Linked DNA regions of Oryctolagus cuniculus. The protein of the gene in region 1 interacts with the protein of each later gene in a pairwise test. Links are inferred from orthologs where the notes say so. Each region holds a gene or a part of one and is shown on either strand. Other genes may lie near its edges. The genes, in order: RAC1, RALBP1, ARHGAP31 and SYNJ2.

Region 1 (4,287 bases):
GGTATTTAGGGAAGAATCAGCAGGTGGAGGATCTCTCTCTGCCTTTCAAGTAAAATCAAAATAAATGAACAAAGTAAAATTTTAAAAAGGTACATGTGTACAATGGACTAGTAAGCCGCAATTAAAAATATTAGAGATTCAGTATGATTTTTCAATCTTGCCTGAAACATGTTCACTGTGTGTATTAAGAAATATGGAGGCCAGCGCCGCGGCTCACTAGGCTAATCCTCCGCCTTGCGGCACCGGCACACCGGGGTCTAGTCCCGGTCAGGGCGCCGGATTCTGTCCCGGTTGCCCCTCTTCCAGGCCAGCTGTCTGCTGTGGCCCGGGAGTGCAGTGGAGGATGGCCCAAGTGCTTGGGCCCTGCACCCCATGGGAGACCAGGAGAAGCACCTGGCTCCTGCATTCGGATCAGCGCGATGCGCCTGCCACAGAGCGCCGGCCGCGGCGGCCATTGGAGGGTGAACCAACGGCAAAGGAAGACCTTTCTCTCTGTCTCTCTCTCTCTCACTGTCCACTCTGCCTGTCAAAAATAAATAAATAAATAAATAAATAAATAAATAAAATAAAAAAGAAATATGGAGAGGGGCTGGCACTGTGGTGCAGTGGGTTAAAGCCCAGGTCTGAAGCGCCATATGGGCGCCGGTTCGAGACCCGGCTGCTCCACTTCCGATGTGGCTCTCTGCTGTGGCCCGGGAAAGCAGTGGAAGGTGGTCCAAGTCCTTGGGCCCCTGCACCTGCATGGGGACCTGGAAGAAGCTCCTGGCTTTGGATCAGCCCAGCTCTGGCCATTGCGGCCAATTGGGAGAGAACCATCGGGTGGAAAACCTCTCTCTCTCTCTCCATCTTCTCTCTGTAACTCTTTCAAATAAATAAATCTTAAAAAAAAAAAAAAAAGAAATATGATGGAATGAATACTGATTATGGCCCAATAATGGTATGGTTTCTTTTTTTTTCCTTCTTTATATAGCTTCAGCTTCGGAAATTTCTAGAAGGCCCTTATGTCATCGCCTAAGTGACAGTGACCATACACACAGGACAATAAAGAGGTGGGGGAACAACCCACGCCCTTCGGACGGCCGGGCCGGGAGTCGGTGACGTCAGCGCGGTTCCTGGAACCCCCGCCTCCCCTCCCAGTCCAAACCCGGCCGCGCCCAGCCCGCGGGAAAGATGGCGGCCGCCCCGCCCCCGCGGCCGGAGCCGAGCGCTCCCGAGCGCTCCCGAGCGTTCCCGAGCGCTCCCGAAGCCCCGAGGAACCCCGGGAGCCGCTCGGGCGGGAGCGGCCCCTCCCGGAGCCTGGGAGCGGCGGCGCCGGCGCGGGGGAGGGGCGGCCGGATGTGAGTGGAGCGGCCATTTCCTGTTTCTCTGCAGTTTTCCTCCGTTTTGGGTGGTGGCTGCTGCCGGGCTTGTGCCTCCAGTCCGCGGAGGGCGAGGCGGCGTGGACAGTGGCTCCGGCATCCCGCGCCCCGCCGCCCGTCGCCGCGCGCTCGCCCGCCCGTCGCCGCGCGCCCGTCCGCCCGCCGCTTCCCGCCTCAGCGCCCGGCCGCCGCCGCCGCCGCGGCCCAGCGAGCGGCCCAGATGCAGGCCATCAAGTGTGTGGTGGTGGGAGACGGGTGAGTGCGCGGCCGGGGGCTCTGGGGGGCCGGCGGGGGCTCGCCGAGGGTCGCGTGGGCGCCGCGCGGCCTCTGCGCGGGGCTCGGGCGGGCGCCCCTCACCCGCCGTCGTCCCGGGCCGGGTTGCGGCGTCCTGGTGGGGGGAGGGCCCTGCCGCTGGCCGGCCGCGGGCAAGAGTGGACTCCGCCCTCTCGCCGCCTTCCCGGGCCCGCGGGGCGGCCGGACGCCGCCCGCCACCCTGCCCGGCTTGGCACGGCTCTCGGGCGCCTGTGCAAATCATTTTATTTTATTTTATTTTATTTTGGCGAGAAGGGGCCGTTCCCTGGCATTTACCCTAAACCTCCTGGTCGCCCCCCACCCCCACCCCTCCAGCCCGGGGAGCCGGGGCGGGCGGCGGAGGTCCAGTGGTCTGAGTGACCGGAAGCCCAGCGTGCGGCCGCGTCGCTGCCACTTGTAACTTGGCCACTTGTGGGGTTCTTCGACATGGTCGGTGGCGCCCTTGGCGTGGACAAAGTTTGGAAGATGCTGTCAGGGGCCAGGTGTGACGGAAGCTGACCTCCTGCAATGTGGTCGTTATTTAAAAAAATAAATAAAAATAAAAATTAAAAAACCGAGGCCTTGGCTGAGCGCGGCAGGGATGGATGGAGTTCTTTCCAGGACCGCCCGTGGGGGTTACAGGCCCCAGAGGAGGACAAGACCGGTCTTATGCAGTTGTGTGTGTGTGTGTGTGTGTGTGTGTTTTTCCCTCCCTTATAAACAAGAATCCCAGTGTGATCCGAGCAAAATCGCGCGTCTCAGCATTGCTTGTGTAGCTTAGTGTGGGACAGGGACTCTCGAAGAATTACTACCAGTTTCACCCAGCTCTGAATGCAACTGGTCCAAGTCCAGAGTCGGAGGAAGAGTGCGCTGGACACCTCTGGTTCATATCCCAAAAGTGGCCTTCCGACTTTTATCTTTTTTTTTTTTTTTTTTTTTATGCCTCTTAGTGAATGTGTGATCTCTTAGCTTAGAGAACTGATGGGAGACGTTTGAGATTGTTTGTGCATTTCGGATGCAAGGAGGACAGTTAGGACACTGGTTTTTCTGGGGAGATGCATGTCTGTTGGATTCGTGTCACACGTGGGAAAGGTGAACCCTGTATAGTTCTACGTATTCAAATAAAAATTGTTAAATTTCATTTATTTAGGAATGTGTATGCTATGTTACCTTTTTAAAAGAAAACCTTACTTTGGCACTTGGGGAAAAGCGTTCGTGAAGTGGGATTGAAAATGAAGTCAGCGGATTATTTTAAGTGAATTCTTCCATGCTTTTGTGTCAGGCATCAGCAAAACGTCACTTTTTCTTAGGAACGTTTAAAATGACCTGGATTTCCCTTAAAAGTTATAAATGCTCCATCGATTATGCTTAGGATATGCTTAGCTCTCTTTCTAAGTGAAGTTGTGGTAATTCAGAACCGAGGGATGGAATGTAGTATTCTGACTTGAAGGTTTCTAAAGCAGGGACCCAGGGTGTTTGACACGAAGAGCTCCCAGCCCTCTCCTGCTGGTACTGCTGTTCCTTCCAGTGAATACTTGTTGAATGCCTGCTGTGTGTGTCTGTCCTGCCCACATCTCACCACTTAGTTGGGAGGTGTCTGAGAGCACATCACTCCTCCCCTCCCCCAGAGAGGTTCCTCCTTGGGAAGTTCAGTGAAATCATGCAGGGGGCTGGCTGGCAAGCCCCTCCCAGGGGCCAGGCCTCTACTGATTGCCTGGAAGTGACCAGGACCAGCACTGTGTGAGGCTCTGTGAGGGAGTATGAGTATTCAAAACACTGTTCCCGCCCTGGAATTTCCCGTCTGCTTTCTAATTTAATTTTTAAAATTTACTTGAGAGAGAAGAAGCTCCTACCCACCAGCTCACCCCCAACATACCTGTAACCAGCATCTGAGAACCCATTCTAGGTCTTGCTCATGGACAGGAGGGACCCAACTACATGAGCCGTCACCACCACTCCCGGGGTTCACACTAGCAGGAAGCTGGAATTGGGGCCTGCAGCAAGGAATCGAAGCCCGGCACCGCGCTGTGGGGTGCCAGTGTCGCAAAGGCTTGTCCCCACGGTATTTTAATGAGGGTTTGACATTTATGTTGACTCTTGACTGTCTTAAGTAGTATTGGAGTAAAGTGAACTTTTGCCAAAAAAAAAAAGTTACACTGTTACTCTCAGGGGTCATACGTAGCAAACATTTCTTCAGTAAAAATCCAAATCCCAAATTTTCCGTACCAAGAATATATTTCTGCTTTCGACTGGTAAGCTATATTCCTGATGATACTGCTGGAATGTTGTTTTATCAGATTGTTAAAGCTGTAAATATGGCCCCGAGTTTCAGTTAAAGGTGTTTAAACAGTGAAGGCAAAAGGTGGAGATACCACAAATTGGAAGCAAGCTGAGTTTTAACCATTTTATAACTGGGATCAGCTGGCTATTTTTTTTTAATTTAATTTTATTTATTTGAAAGAGTTCCAGAAAGAGGTAGACAGAGAGAGAGAGGTCTTCCATCCTCTGGTTCACTTCCCAAATGGCCACAACAGCTGGAGCCAGGAGTTTCTTCCAGGACTCCCACGTGGATGCAGGGGCCCAAGCACTTGGGCCATCTGCTGCTGCTCTCCCAGGTGCATCAGCAGGGAGCTGGATC
Region 2 (3,564 bases), on another chromosome or scaffold:
GAGATAATGCATGAAAAGGGCTCAGCACACTAGTACACAGCACCAAAGTGTTTGCTTATCTGGACGAGGTTGCTCTCATTTAGTCATGTCTTAAAGATAAGAATACGGAAAGTCAGGGGAGGTGAGAAAACTTTAGCACATGATTACTAAGCTGTAGAACCAAGACTTGAGTCTAAATCTTAGACTTTTCCACTTGTGACTTAGCTGTAAGAAACTGTGCTGTGAGACAGGCACCGCTTGGGTATTCTCTGTCAGAGTGCCTGGGATCCGGTCCTACCTCCACTTCCAACCCAGCTTCCTACTAGTGCACCTGGGAGGCAGTCAATGATGACCCAAGTACTTGGATTCCTGCTACCCACATAGGAGGCTCAGATGGAGTTCCTGGCTCCTTGCTTTTGACACTACCCTGCCATGGCTGTTGTGGGCATTTGAGGAGTAAACCAGTGTATGGAAGTTCTCTGTCTCTCCCCCTCTCTCTTGTCACTCTGCCTTTCAAATAGGTAATTTTAAAAAAAATTTTTTTTAAGTTATTATTTATTTTTTTTTGAGTGATAGTGTTAACAGACAGAGAGAGGGAGAAACAGAGAGAAAAGTCCTGCATCCCCTGGTTTGCTCCCTAAATAAATGGCCACAAAGGCTGGAGCTGGGCAGATCCAAAGGCAGGAGCCGGAGCTTCTTCGCAGTCTCCCACATGGGTGCAAGGGCCCAAGCACTTGGGCCATCTTCTACTGCTTTCCCAGGCCATAGCAGGAAGCTGAATTGGAAGAGGAGCAGCCAGGACACGAACCCAGAACCCATATGGGATGCTGGCACCACAGGCAGAGGCTTAGCCTACTGTGCTACAGTGCTGACCCCTAAATAAATAATCTTTAAAAAACACAGGAAAAAAATGCCATGCTGTGTGTGTGTGTGTGTGTGTGTGTGAGAGAGAGAGAGAGAGAGAGAGAGAAATTGAATAAGAAATTCAAGACTAAATAAGAAATGTGTTTTTATTTACTTGCATGCATATCATCAAATCTCTGCTTGCCTCTCTTCCCTTATCTGCCCTGAACTTCCATTCCTTACTAGTTGATGATGTAGGAGTGAGGGTGTGAATTAGCTCCTACTGAATCAATGTACATTAATGACTGAGAACCTAATTCTCAGGCAAAACAAGTAAGAATGATTTTTTCAGTTATATCCTTGAGAAGATCATTAGTGCCATTATTTCCGTCCTTTAACAATAAGTGAAAATAGTTGAATCTACATCTTTAGAAATCACGATTTTTTAAAGTAAGACATTGGATACTGCTCATTGTGTGTTATTGTTTTCTAGGAGTTTCTTTTGAATTGTTTACATCGAGATCTGCAGGGTGGGATAAAGGATTTGTCTAAAGAAGAGAGATTATGGGAAGTACAAAGAATTCTGACAGCCCTCAAAAGAAAACTGAGAGAAGCTAAAAGACAAGTGAGTTATATTTTAGTACTTTGTGCTTATAGTAAAATATTAAAGAACTGTGCCATTTGTTTTAAAATACAACGTAAGCATGGTTCCTGACGCTCCCTAGTGGGAAATTTACTCAGGCGTTGCTAGTTCTGGATGACTCCTTCAGAACGGTGTCGGATGTTTCATTTTGTGGAGAAAGATCTTCATGAAGAAGGGGGTTTTACTAGAAGGTGTGTTGTCGTTTCCTCCTTGCTTGTACCTCTGAACAAGCTTTCCAACGCTGAGAAGGCCGGATGGTCAGGCATCGTCCGAGATGGACGGCAGGGCAGCGGAGAGGATTGCCGGGAGGGCTTCTGTTCACTTAGCTCCTGGCGCAATGGCAGTACACACGGGCCCCTCATCTCCCTCTAGTATGGGTTGCTTGGTCCCAGAACTGTGAATGTACCAGTAACCCCACAGCTCAAATCTCAGTCTCTGCACTGTCTTACCACCCATGTACAGATTCAGCAGCAACATCCTGTGAATTGGTGCAGGGTCTGTGGGCAGCAGATTTACTGAGCATGGGAGTGGTTGCTGTTGCGTTTGGGCTAATAGTCAAAGGCGGCCGAGTACTTGGGTTGTTCTGAGGATAGAGATTTGTACCTGTGTGGAGGATGTCTTGTCAGAGGGGGCTGTCTCCCTTTGCTGTCAGACCACAGCCAACACAGAAGACCTCTGTGATCTCAGAAGCTGGGGGCTTTTCCTCCAAGCACCAGCTGGCGTCCTCTGATTCAGTGCAGTCTGGCTCTGCTGATCTGGAGACAGCCACACCCAAGGCTGAGGGCTGCGACCCCACGGCCGCCCCCTTCAGATGCCAGCTGCAAGCTCCTCCCCAGCTTTGATGAATTTGCTCAGGTGGCTCACAGAACTCAGGGAAGCACGCTGCGCAGTTTGTTATTAAGGATGCCACAGAGCGGACAGATGAAGAGATGAGTGGGACACAGAATGGGAGAAAGGGCCCAGAGCTTCCACGCCCCCTCCTGGCACCGCTAAGAACCTCCATGCACCCCCACGAATTCAGCCTCCAGAACCATGTCGTCTGGGGTTGGTATGGGTTCTCTGTTGAACAGGCACGGGAGCTGATGGGGAACTGAGCAAGGATGATACACACATGGCAGATAAGCACATGCAAAGATGCTCAACATCGTTAGTCTTTAAGAAAACACAACTTAAAAGCACCATGAGAGGACACTGTACAATAACTAGAGTGGCTAAAACTGAAAGTACCAAGTGTGAGTAAGAATATGAGGTAACGGGAGCTCTCCTATGTCAGTCCTGGTAATGCGAAATGGTATGGCCACTCTGGAAGCCAGTTTGGCAGTTTGTTGTAAAGGTAAACATACATGAGTTACTGTGTGACCCAGCAATTCTACTCCAAGGTATTTATTCAAGAGAAAATAGCCTACACCCTCACAAAGCCCTTGTGAAATGCTCTTAGCAGTTCTAACAGCTAAAAACTAGAAAGAACCCAGATGGCCTGTTTGAGCTGGTCAGTGTGTAAACAAATTGGGATATTACCAGGTAATTACTGATATAGCCAACAAAATAGATGGCTCAGAAAAGCATTGTGTTCGGCAAAAGAAGACAGATGAAAAAGCCTATTTAGTGGTTGATCCATTTCTGTGAAACTCAAGGAAAGGAGACCCTGTAAGTAGTGCAAAGCAGGTCAGTGGTTGCTAGGAGCCAGCAGCTGGAGGAGGAGCCCCAGGGGCTCATGGGTGATAGGAAAGTTCTATAGCAGATGGTGGTGGTGATTCCTCAACTGTGTATATTTATCAGAACTGAATTGTACATTGAACATTGCTACCCCTGGCACCTCCACCCTGCAGAGTATGGCAGAAGGCAATTTGTGTGGAAGATAGGCACATTAGCCAGAATTGAACATGCGCCACAATGCAACCATGAACTAATGACCCCGTATTAAGTTCCCAGCCCAGTTGAAAAATATCCATTCATTGAGGTGGAAGGAGGAGGAAGAGCCTGGCTGGGTGTTAATGTGCATCTGTTGAATATGTCTTACCTACATACTAACTAGTTCCTTTTCCGTTTCTCTTACTGGACAGGAGTGTGAAACCAAGATTGCACAAGAGATAGCCAGC
Region 3 (4,042 bases), on another chromosome or scaffold:
ATGCTCGCCTCCAGGCTCACTCACTTCCACTCAGCAAACTTTGAAGGAATGCTCACGTGTGTGCGTGTGTGTGCGCGCGCGCGCGCGACTGTGTGTATGAACTTGAATCTGTAAGCAGAAACTTGATTTCCTGGGCAGTGGTTACCCAGCTGCGGCTCTCGTTGCCAAGGGTGATCCGCGCCCCCGCGTGGCCTGGGGGTTCACGGGGCTCGAGGTCCCGAGCCAGCGCGGCCGGGGTGGGGGTGGGGCGGGGAGTGGTCGCGGAAAACCGCTGCCTGTCAGGTTTCTCCGCGGGAACCCCGTCTTTGTTTCTGTCACTACTCCTGAGGTGTTTGTGGAGGAGAAAGGCAGGCACCGAAATAGAAAGTGTCAGGGATGCGATGACAATGAGGGGCAGACTAAGGGAGCACTTTCTGAGGGTCCCAGCCAGCGCCCGGCCACCTCCTCCTGCGCGCTTCAAAGAGCCGCGCGGGCGGGAAGCGGGTGGCGCGGGCCGCGGCTCCTCAGCCGCGCGGCGATTTCCTCCCCACGCCGGGAGTTACCTCGGGAGTCGCAGCCCGGCTCTCAGGAGAGCGCGTCCTCTCCCCCACCCGGTGCTCCTCAACCCACCCACCTACTTCCTCCGGTTCCATACACGCAGCTCAGAGCTGCCAAAAATTTCCACCCTCCGCCCCCCTCCCTAGCTAACTTCCTTCCAGCGTTTCCTGAGCTGGATGAGCCTAGGATTTGTAAGACAGGAAAAAAAGGAAGGCGTGAGGGCGGGCGAGAGAGACGGGATGCTTGTTTTTCGCTCCACCGAAGCCGCCTGAAGGCACGACCGCTGGCCAGGGCGGCGGACCCACAGCAGCCCCCGGGCTGTCTGCTTGCCCCGCGCCGGAGTGCCGTCCGGGCCCCCGAGGAAGGCGGACTCGAAAACTCGCCCTCCCCCGCCGCGGCCGAGGAAGAGCGCCGCAAGACGCCGCAGCCCGTGAAAGTCCCCGGGACTCCCAGTGAGGAAGTGACACTCCCAAGCCGGCCGCCCGCAGCTGCCAGCCCTGCTCGGCCTCCGGCGCGGCGGCCCTGGAGGCGCGCCGCGTGGATTGCAGGCTCGGCTGGCCCGGCCCGCCCGCCGCCCCGCGGGGTCCATGCGCAGCGCTCCCGCCCCGGCTCTCGCCTTGGCCCAGGCGGCACCCCAGAGCCGCGCTGCGGCCGGTAATCGGAGCCGGGAGACCATCTTACCGCGGTGCCAGGCAGTGGGGAGGCGAGACGGAGGGGCAGCCTCTTCGGGACTAACTCATGAAGAACAAGGGTGCCAAGCAGAAGCTGAAACGCAAGGGAGCCGCCAGCGCGTTTGGCTGTGACCTGACGGAGTATCTGGAAAGCTCGGGACAGGATGGTAATGGGCCTTCCCCTCCCTTTTCCCCTTCTTTTTGTTTGAGGGAGAGATGGATTCTCTTGGGGTGTGTTCGATTTAGTTCACAAGTTAATGTATTCCAGACCTCGCTATACCTTAAGAAAAAAAAAGAAAGAACAGATGACTCTTAAGGTGCACAGCGCTGCCACTGTGACGGGCAGGGCTGTCAGTCCTGGCGTGGGTCGCACCCCAGCCGTTAAATGGGCGGTGCTGCCCCGACTTTCAGCGGCCACCTCCGGGCTGGGGGTGGGAGCGGGGTGCCTGGAGGGATGGCCGAGGAGTGGACAGTGGGATGGTGGGCGGGGGCTGCGCGACCTCCTGGGCGCTCCGATTTCATCTGCTCACATCTTTTTATATTAATGTGCTAGAAGGCAGTGGGGTGCGGTGGGGTGCGGTGGGGGCGGGGATCCTGGGCGGGGGCGGGGGTGGGGAGTGGTTACACAAACATTTTCTGAATTTCTAAGCTGATGCCACATAGATAGTCCCCCCCCCCCCATCTCTTTTCCCAACCCCCAGACCTTTTAGCTCCTCTCGGCTTTCAGATTAACCTGTGATATATCAGACAAGAAGAGGGTTGTAGAAAGGTCAGAGGGCCTCGAATCTGAAATAGTTGAGGATACAGAAGAGAAAAGGAGAGCATCTCTGTTTTCGAGGGCAGATTGGGAGGCAAGAAGGAATCCAGCAAAGGAGAGATAATTTAAACATTTGTTGGGCGAGGAGGAAAGAAAGCAATTCTAGCATACAAAAACAGTATTTGAGGTTAGAAGTTTTTCATCATAGGAAAGTTGGGAAAATTGAGCATTAAATGACTCCTTTTGTAAGGTTGACTGACCCTGCACTTACCCATGACAAAAAGGCCTTGTCTGCAGAAACTTCAGTTAGAGAAAAAATAGCGCACTCTTTATGAGCGGTGTGTTTATACATAGATAGATATAACAAAGGGGAAAATGTAAGGGCTGTGCAACTGTGCAGATTGATTCTGCCTCCAGGAAAATAATCCCCCAACGACCTGATTAGTCCATATCAAATAAGCATCTCAAAAACAGCGCAATACTTCTCTTTCATACACACACACACACCCTTTTTTTTTCCCAAAAGACTCAGCACCACCTAGTAATTTGCAGTGGTGTGATATTCCTGTGGTATTCCGGGGTTCACAGTCAGCCATGTCATTAGGACAAATGGCTTAGTATTTTAGAGCTTGAGGAAACACAGGTTTCCAAGCTTCTCTTTTGAAATCGAGGTATAACTGAGCCAATTCACTTTATCTTCATCAACAATCTGGAGAGGTAGATTTGAAGTAGAATTGCTCAGATTAAGGTCGGTTTTTTTTTTTTTTTTGAATGTGAAAGAACTCCCAAGTATGCGTTTTAACCACTGCTGTCAGTAGTTCAGGATGAGATATTTCCCTCCTGTTTGTGTATGGTCTTCCTGTTAACGTCCAGGTACACTAGGAATGCTTTTAGATGCCATCTTCTACCGTGTGAGTGCTATTCTGGGCCCTCCCTCCAGAGCTGGGATAGTGGCGTAAGGGTACTTGCCAGCCCTGCCTCATTCTTACAAAGTCTTTCATCATAGGAAGAGCCAGAAGCCCAGAGTTCTGTGAACATATCTCAAAGGCACCCGTAGGCAACTGTTCTTTCACCTGCTTTATATTTTGGGTTTTGGCACATGTTTCATTTAGGGGAAAAAATGTCCCAGGGTGAGGGTGGGGTTGGGAGGGAATTTACCGCTTAAAGAAAAAAATGGAAAACCGGTAGCCAGTGTTTCCCACCTTGGGGAGGAGGAAAGAAGGCCCAGAGAGGTAAATTGACCTGCCCAAAGTCTTGCAGTGAAATCATGATGAGGCCCTGGCCTGTTAGGCTCCTTTCCCCTCCCTGGCTTCCATGTCTGAGCAAACATTCCAAGTCAGAGAACTTTCAAAAATTGAACATATCTGAGTAGAGCTGAGCTTTGAAACTGATCCATGTACATATCCACACACCGTTTTTGTATGACATGGAAATTAGGCACATGTAATAAGCAGCTGATATAAATGAAGAGTAATTAGGGTTTTTATTTTCCAACAACTAAAGCTGGTTAGATAGTTTTCCCTTATTTTTTTGTTGTGAAGTGTCAGTAAATAAAGCCAATGTTGGTGGTTTTTTCCAAAACAAGGTAGCCTCCCCATGGACTTTCTGAAATCCTTATTGGCTACTAGACAAGGCCCAGATTCGGCTTCTAGCAAGAAAGAGCTGAGCTGGGCATTGCCCCTTTGCAACCGCCTTGGAAATTCAGACCAGAATGCTAGGGCTGGCACGTCAGTGTGGCAACTAGAATCCAGGAGGCTGAGGACAGCTCCTCAAAAGTGACGTCATGGTCACTGCACTTTAGGGACCAAGAGCAGGGTTGATGGACCTGGGTAAAAATCAGGACAGGTGGACTCTGGTTTGGGAGCACAAAGACAGAAGGGAAGAGATGCAGAGAAACTATGAGAGCCCCTGTGCTTGTATGGAGAAGAAGAGACCCACGCTGGGGTGGAGGACAAAGCTGGTGACAGTTTGCTGTGCTCAGGCCAGCTGAACACAAGGCAGCTAAACACCTGAATGGGAACTCCGAGAGGACAGAGACTGAGCACCGAGCCTGAATGAAATCCATTTCTGTAATTTG
Region 4 (2,697 bases), on another chromosome or scaffold:
TATTAATTCATTCCCCAAACGCCCACAACAGCCAGGGCCGAGCTGAGCCAAAGCCGGGAGCTGGAACTCAGTCCAGGTCCGTCCGCAGCGGCTGGGGGGGGGGGGGGGCGGGGAGCGGCAGGGACCCAATCCCTGCTGCCTCCCAGGGTCCGCATTAGCGGGAAGCTGGAGTCAGAAGCTGAGGCTGGGTTTCCAACCCAGGAATTCCAGTGTGGGCCGTGCTGTCTTCACCGTGAGAAGGGATTGTTTGCTGTTTTTTAAAGATTTTATTTATTTATATGAGAGGTAGAGTTGCTGTCTATCTGAGAGGAAGAGACAGAGAGAAAGGTCTTCCATCTGCTGGGTCGCTCCCCAGATGGCCACAGTGGCCAGAGCTGGGCCGATCAGGAGCCAGGAGCTTCTTCTGGAGCCCCCACAATGGTGCAGGGGCCCACGCACTTGGGCCATCCTCCACTGCTTTCCCAGGGCATAAGCAGGGAGCTGGATAGGAAGAGGAGCAGCCAGGACCCCATATGGGAAGCTGGCACTGCAGGCGGAGGCTTAGCCTACTGTGCCACAGCGCTGGCCCCAACAGGGGAAATTCTGAGACGCCGGTGCTTAACCCGGACAGCCCCTCCGTATGGGAGTACTGCACTGCACACTCGTCTCCTTCCCGAGCAGGGCAAGTCCCTGGGCAGGTCAAGTCCATTCTTCTCCTTGTATTGAGAATTATATGGGGTTTTCTAAAAGTGCATGGAAAATGTGCACTTCTGGGTTTCTGTACCAGAATAAGCTTACCTTTTAATTCATTTTCCCTTGAACTTTTGAGGGGTAGCTTCATTAGCCGGGACTTGAACCAGGGCCCCTATGGGATGCTGGCACTGCAGGTGGCAGCTTTACCCGCTACGCCACAGCGTAGGCCCCTAGCCAGCCCTTCAGGGAGCTTAGCACTATCATGGGAGTGGCTTCACCTGAAGGGGCGCGTGCTGTGTGAACCACCAGCCAAGCCGCGGCCTCGGAGGAGCACCTTCGCCCAGAGGTTCGCTTTGAGTCACAGAAGAGCACAGCCCCGTTCGCTAAGAAAACTCTGGAATGTTGCACTATGGCTCTGCTTTTAAAATCCTCCCTGGCCTCTCGTTGCGTGTGCTGGTTTGACGTGCCCTTGTGTGTTTTCTCCTGTGTGTTCCCCCCTCTGGCCACACTGCCAGCGTCCAGACATTCTCAAATCTCGAATTTGCTGGAATGTCACCTCAGGCTCGTCCCTCCCCCCCGCTGACAGCTTCGTGTTCTCTGGTCCTCGACTTGCACGTGGCGGCTTCCCAGTCACATGTCGTGTCTTGCTTTTCTCAGCCCCTGTCGCCCGAAGAACAGCTTGATCAAGAAGCAGTCCGCTTCACAGTCGGGCCCCCGGAGACAAGCCTGGAAGCCCCTCCTCCGGGGACCGCCCCTCGAGTCCCCCCTGTTCCCAGACCAAGGACATTTCAGCCTGGCAGAGCCGCAGAGAGGCCGCCCAGCGGTGGAAAGCCGGCACCGGGCACAGGTGGTCCTGTGGCAGGCAACACCTTGCTGTCACCGCCCGAGGTCCCGTCTCTCGTGCCCAAGGTGCCCCCAAGGAGGAAGAAGTCCGCGCCGGCGGCCTTCCACCTGCAGGTCCTGCAGAGCAGCAGCCAGCTCCTCCAGGGCCTCACCAGTGATGCCAGCGGCCATGACCATGACCGTGACCGTCCGCCGGGTCGCCAGCCTGAGGCCGACGCTCTCTTTCCCCAAGTGCATTTCCTTGGCCTTTCCTCTGCCACAAGCCCCGAAACGGACGGTTCCGAAGTCACGAAGCCGGAGGCAGCCTCCCTTCTGGGTGAGTATCAGGACCCCTTCTGGAACCTTCTGCACCATCCTAAGCTGCTGAATAATGCCTGGATTTCCAAGAGCTCCGGCCTCTGGAACTCAGAGGCCAGGAGCCCCGAAAGAGCTGACCCCGGCCCGGAGCTGCTGCCACACCAGGACCAGAACGCCTCCGGTCACTGGGTGGCCATCAGTGACAGAGACAAGAGGACGACGCTGCAGGCGTTTGACCCGCTGGCAGAGACCTGACCCGGGAGCTCCACAGGCGGCCCGTGTGGGACGGGCTCCCTTGGCCCCTGTAGGCAGCACTTCCCCAGGTCAGAAGAGGGCTGTTTAGAGACACGCTGAAAACAACACGTGTGTGTGTGTGTCACTCTCGTGTAGCTGACAAAAGTTGTGTGTCTCCTCCAATAAGATGATTATTCAGCCACCGAAATACGATCGACTCCAAGTGTGTACATAAAATGTTTGCCCTCGGGGGGATGGGACCTGCCGTTAGGTTCAGCACGCGGATTCTATGGCAGGAAGTCAAGCTGGCAAGGCCCACGGCGTTCTCTCGCCCGTTCTCTCTCTCTGTGAGTGTCTGAGGTGGGGCTTTGGTTTGTGTCCCGTTAGTGTGTTCTGGATTTGGAACAGCTTTGCGATGGCCTCCCTGAAGGTTGATGCGTAAAGTGCGGATTACGCGAAAGGTTGCTTGGGACCACGGACAGCGATGTCTGGCCCGCTGAAGCCAGCTTGCAAAAAGCCCAGAGTTAGAAGTGGCAGACAAGGCATCCAAGTGACAGGACCATGCATCCACGCGAGCGTGTGTGTGTGTGTCCCACAGGAGCCGGTGTCCCACACTGTCTGGTTCCAGAGGACATGCCTTGAGCTTCAGCC

What was found.
Region 2: the proteins of RAC1 (region 1) and RALBP1 interact in a two-hybrid assay, tested with the Homo sapiens proteins (2 studies listed by BioGRID, with this or other methods). The link is inferred for Oryctolagus cuniculus from reciprocal best matches to the Homo sapiens genes RAC1 and RALBP1.
Region 3: the proteins of RAC1 (region 1) and ARHGAP31 interact in a two-hybrid assay, tested with the Homo sapiens proteins (2 studies listed by BioGRID and IntAct, with this or other methods). The link is inferred for Oryctolagus cuniculus from reciprocal best matches to the Homo sapiens genes RAC1 and ARHGAP31.
Region 4: the proteins of RAC1 (region 1) and SYNJ2 interact in a two-hybrid assay, tested with the Homo sapiens proteins (2 studies listed by BioGRID and IntAct). The link is inferred for Oryctolagus cuniculus from reciprocal best matches to the Homo sapiens genes RAC1 and SYNJ2.

What each region holds. Positions count from the first base shown.
Region 1 is NC_091450.1:40,075,936-40,080,222, reverse strand, and holds the start of RAC1 (ras-related C3 botulinum toxin substrate 1), read left to right. Parts: upstream 1-1,435; 5' UTR 1,436-1,578; coding exon 1,579-1,613; intron 1,614-4,287. UniProt on the Homo sapiens protein: Plasma membrane-associated small GTPase which cycles between active GTP-bound and inactive GDP-bound states.
Region 2 is NC_091441.1:66,680,731-66,684,294, forward strand, and holds part of RALBP1 (ralA-binding protein 1), read left to right. Parts: intron 1-1,315; coding exon 1,316-1,447; intron 1,448-3,528; coding exon 3,529-3,564. UniProt on the Homo sapiens protein: Multifunctional protein that functions as a downstream effector of RALA and RALB. As a GTPase-activating protein/GAP can inactivate CDC42 and RAC1 by stimulating their GTPase activity.
Region 3 is NC_091435.1:75,801,034-75,805,075, forward strand, and holds the start of ARHGAP31 (rho GTPase-activating protein 31), read left to right. Parts: upstream 1-1,236; 5' UTR 1,237-1,275; coding exon 1,276-1,375; intron 1,376-4,042. UniProt on the Homo sapiens protein: Functions as a GTPase-activating protein (GAP) for RAC1 and CDC42. Required for cell spreading, polarized lamellipodia formation and cell migration.
Region 4 is NC_091436.1:9,655,568-9,658,264, reverse strand, and holds part of SYNJ2 (synaptojanin-2), read left to right. Parts: intron 1-1,329; coding exon 1,330-2,067; 3' UTR 2,068-2,697. UniProt on the Homo sapiens protein: Inositol 5-phosphatase which may be involved in distinct membrane trafficking and signal transduction pathways. May mediate the inhibitory effect of Rac1 on endocytosis.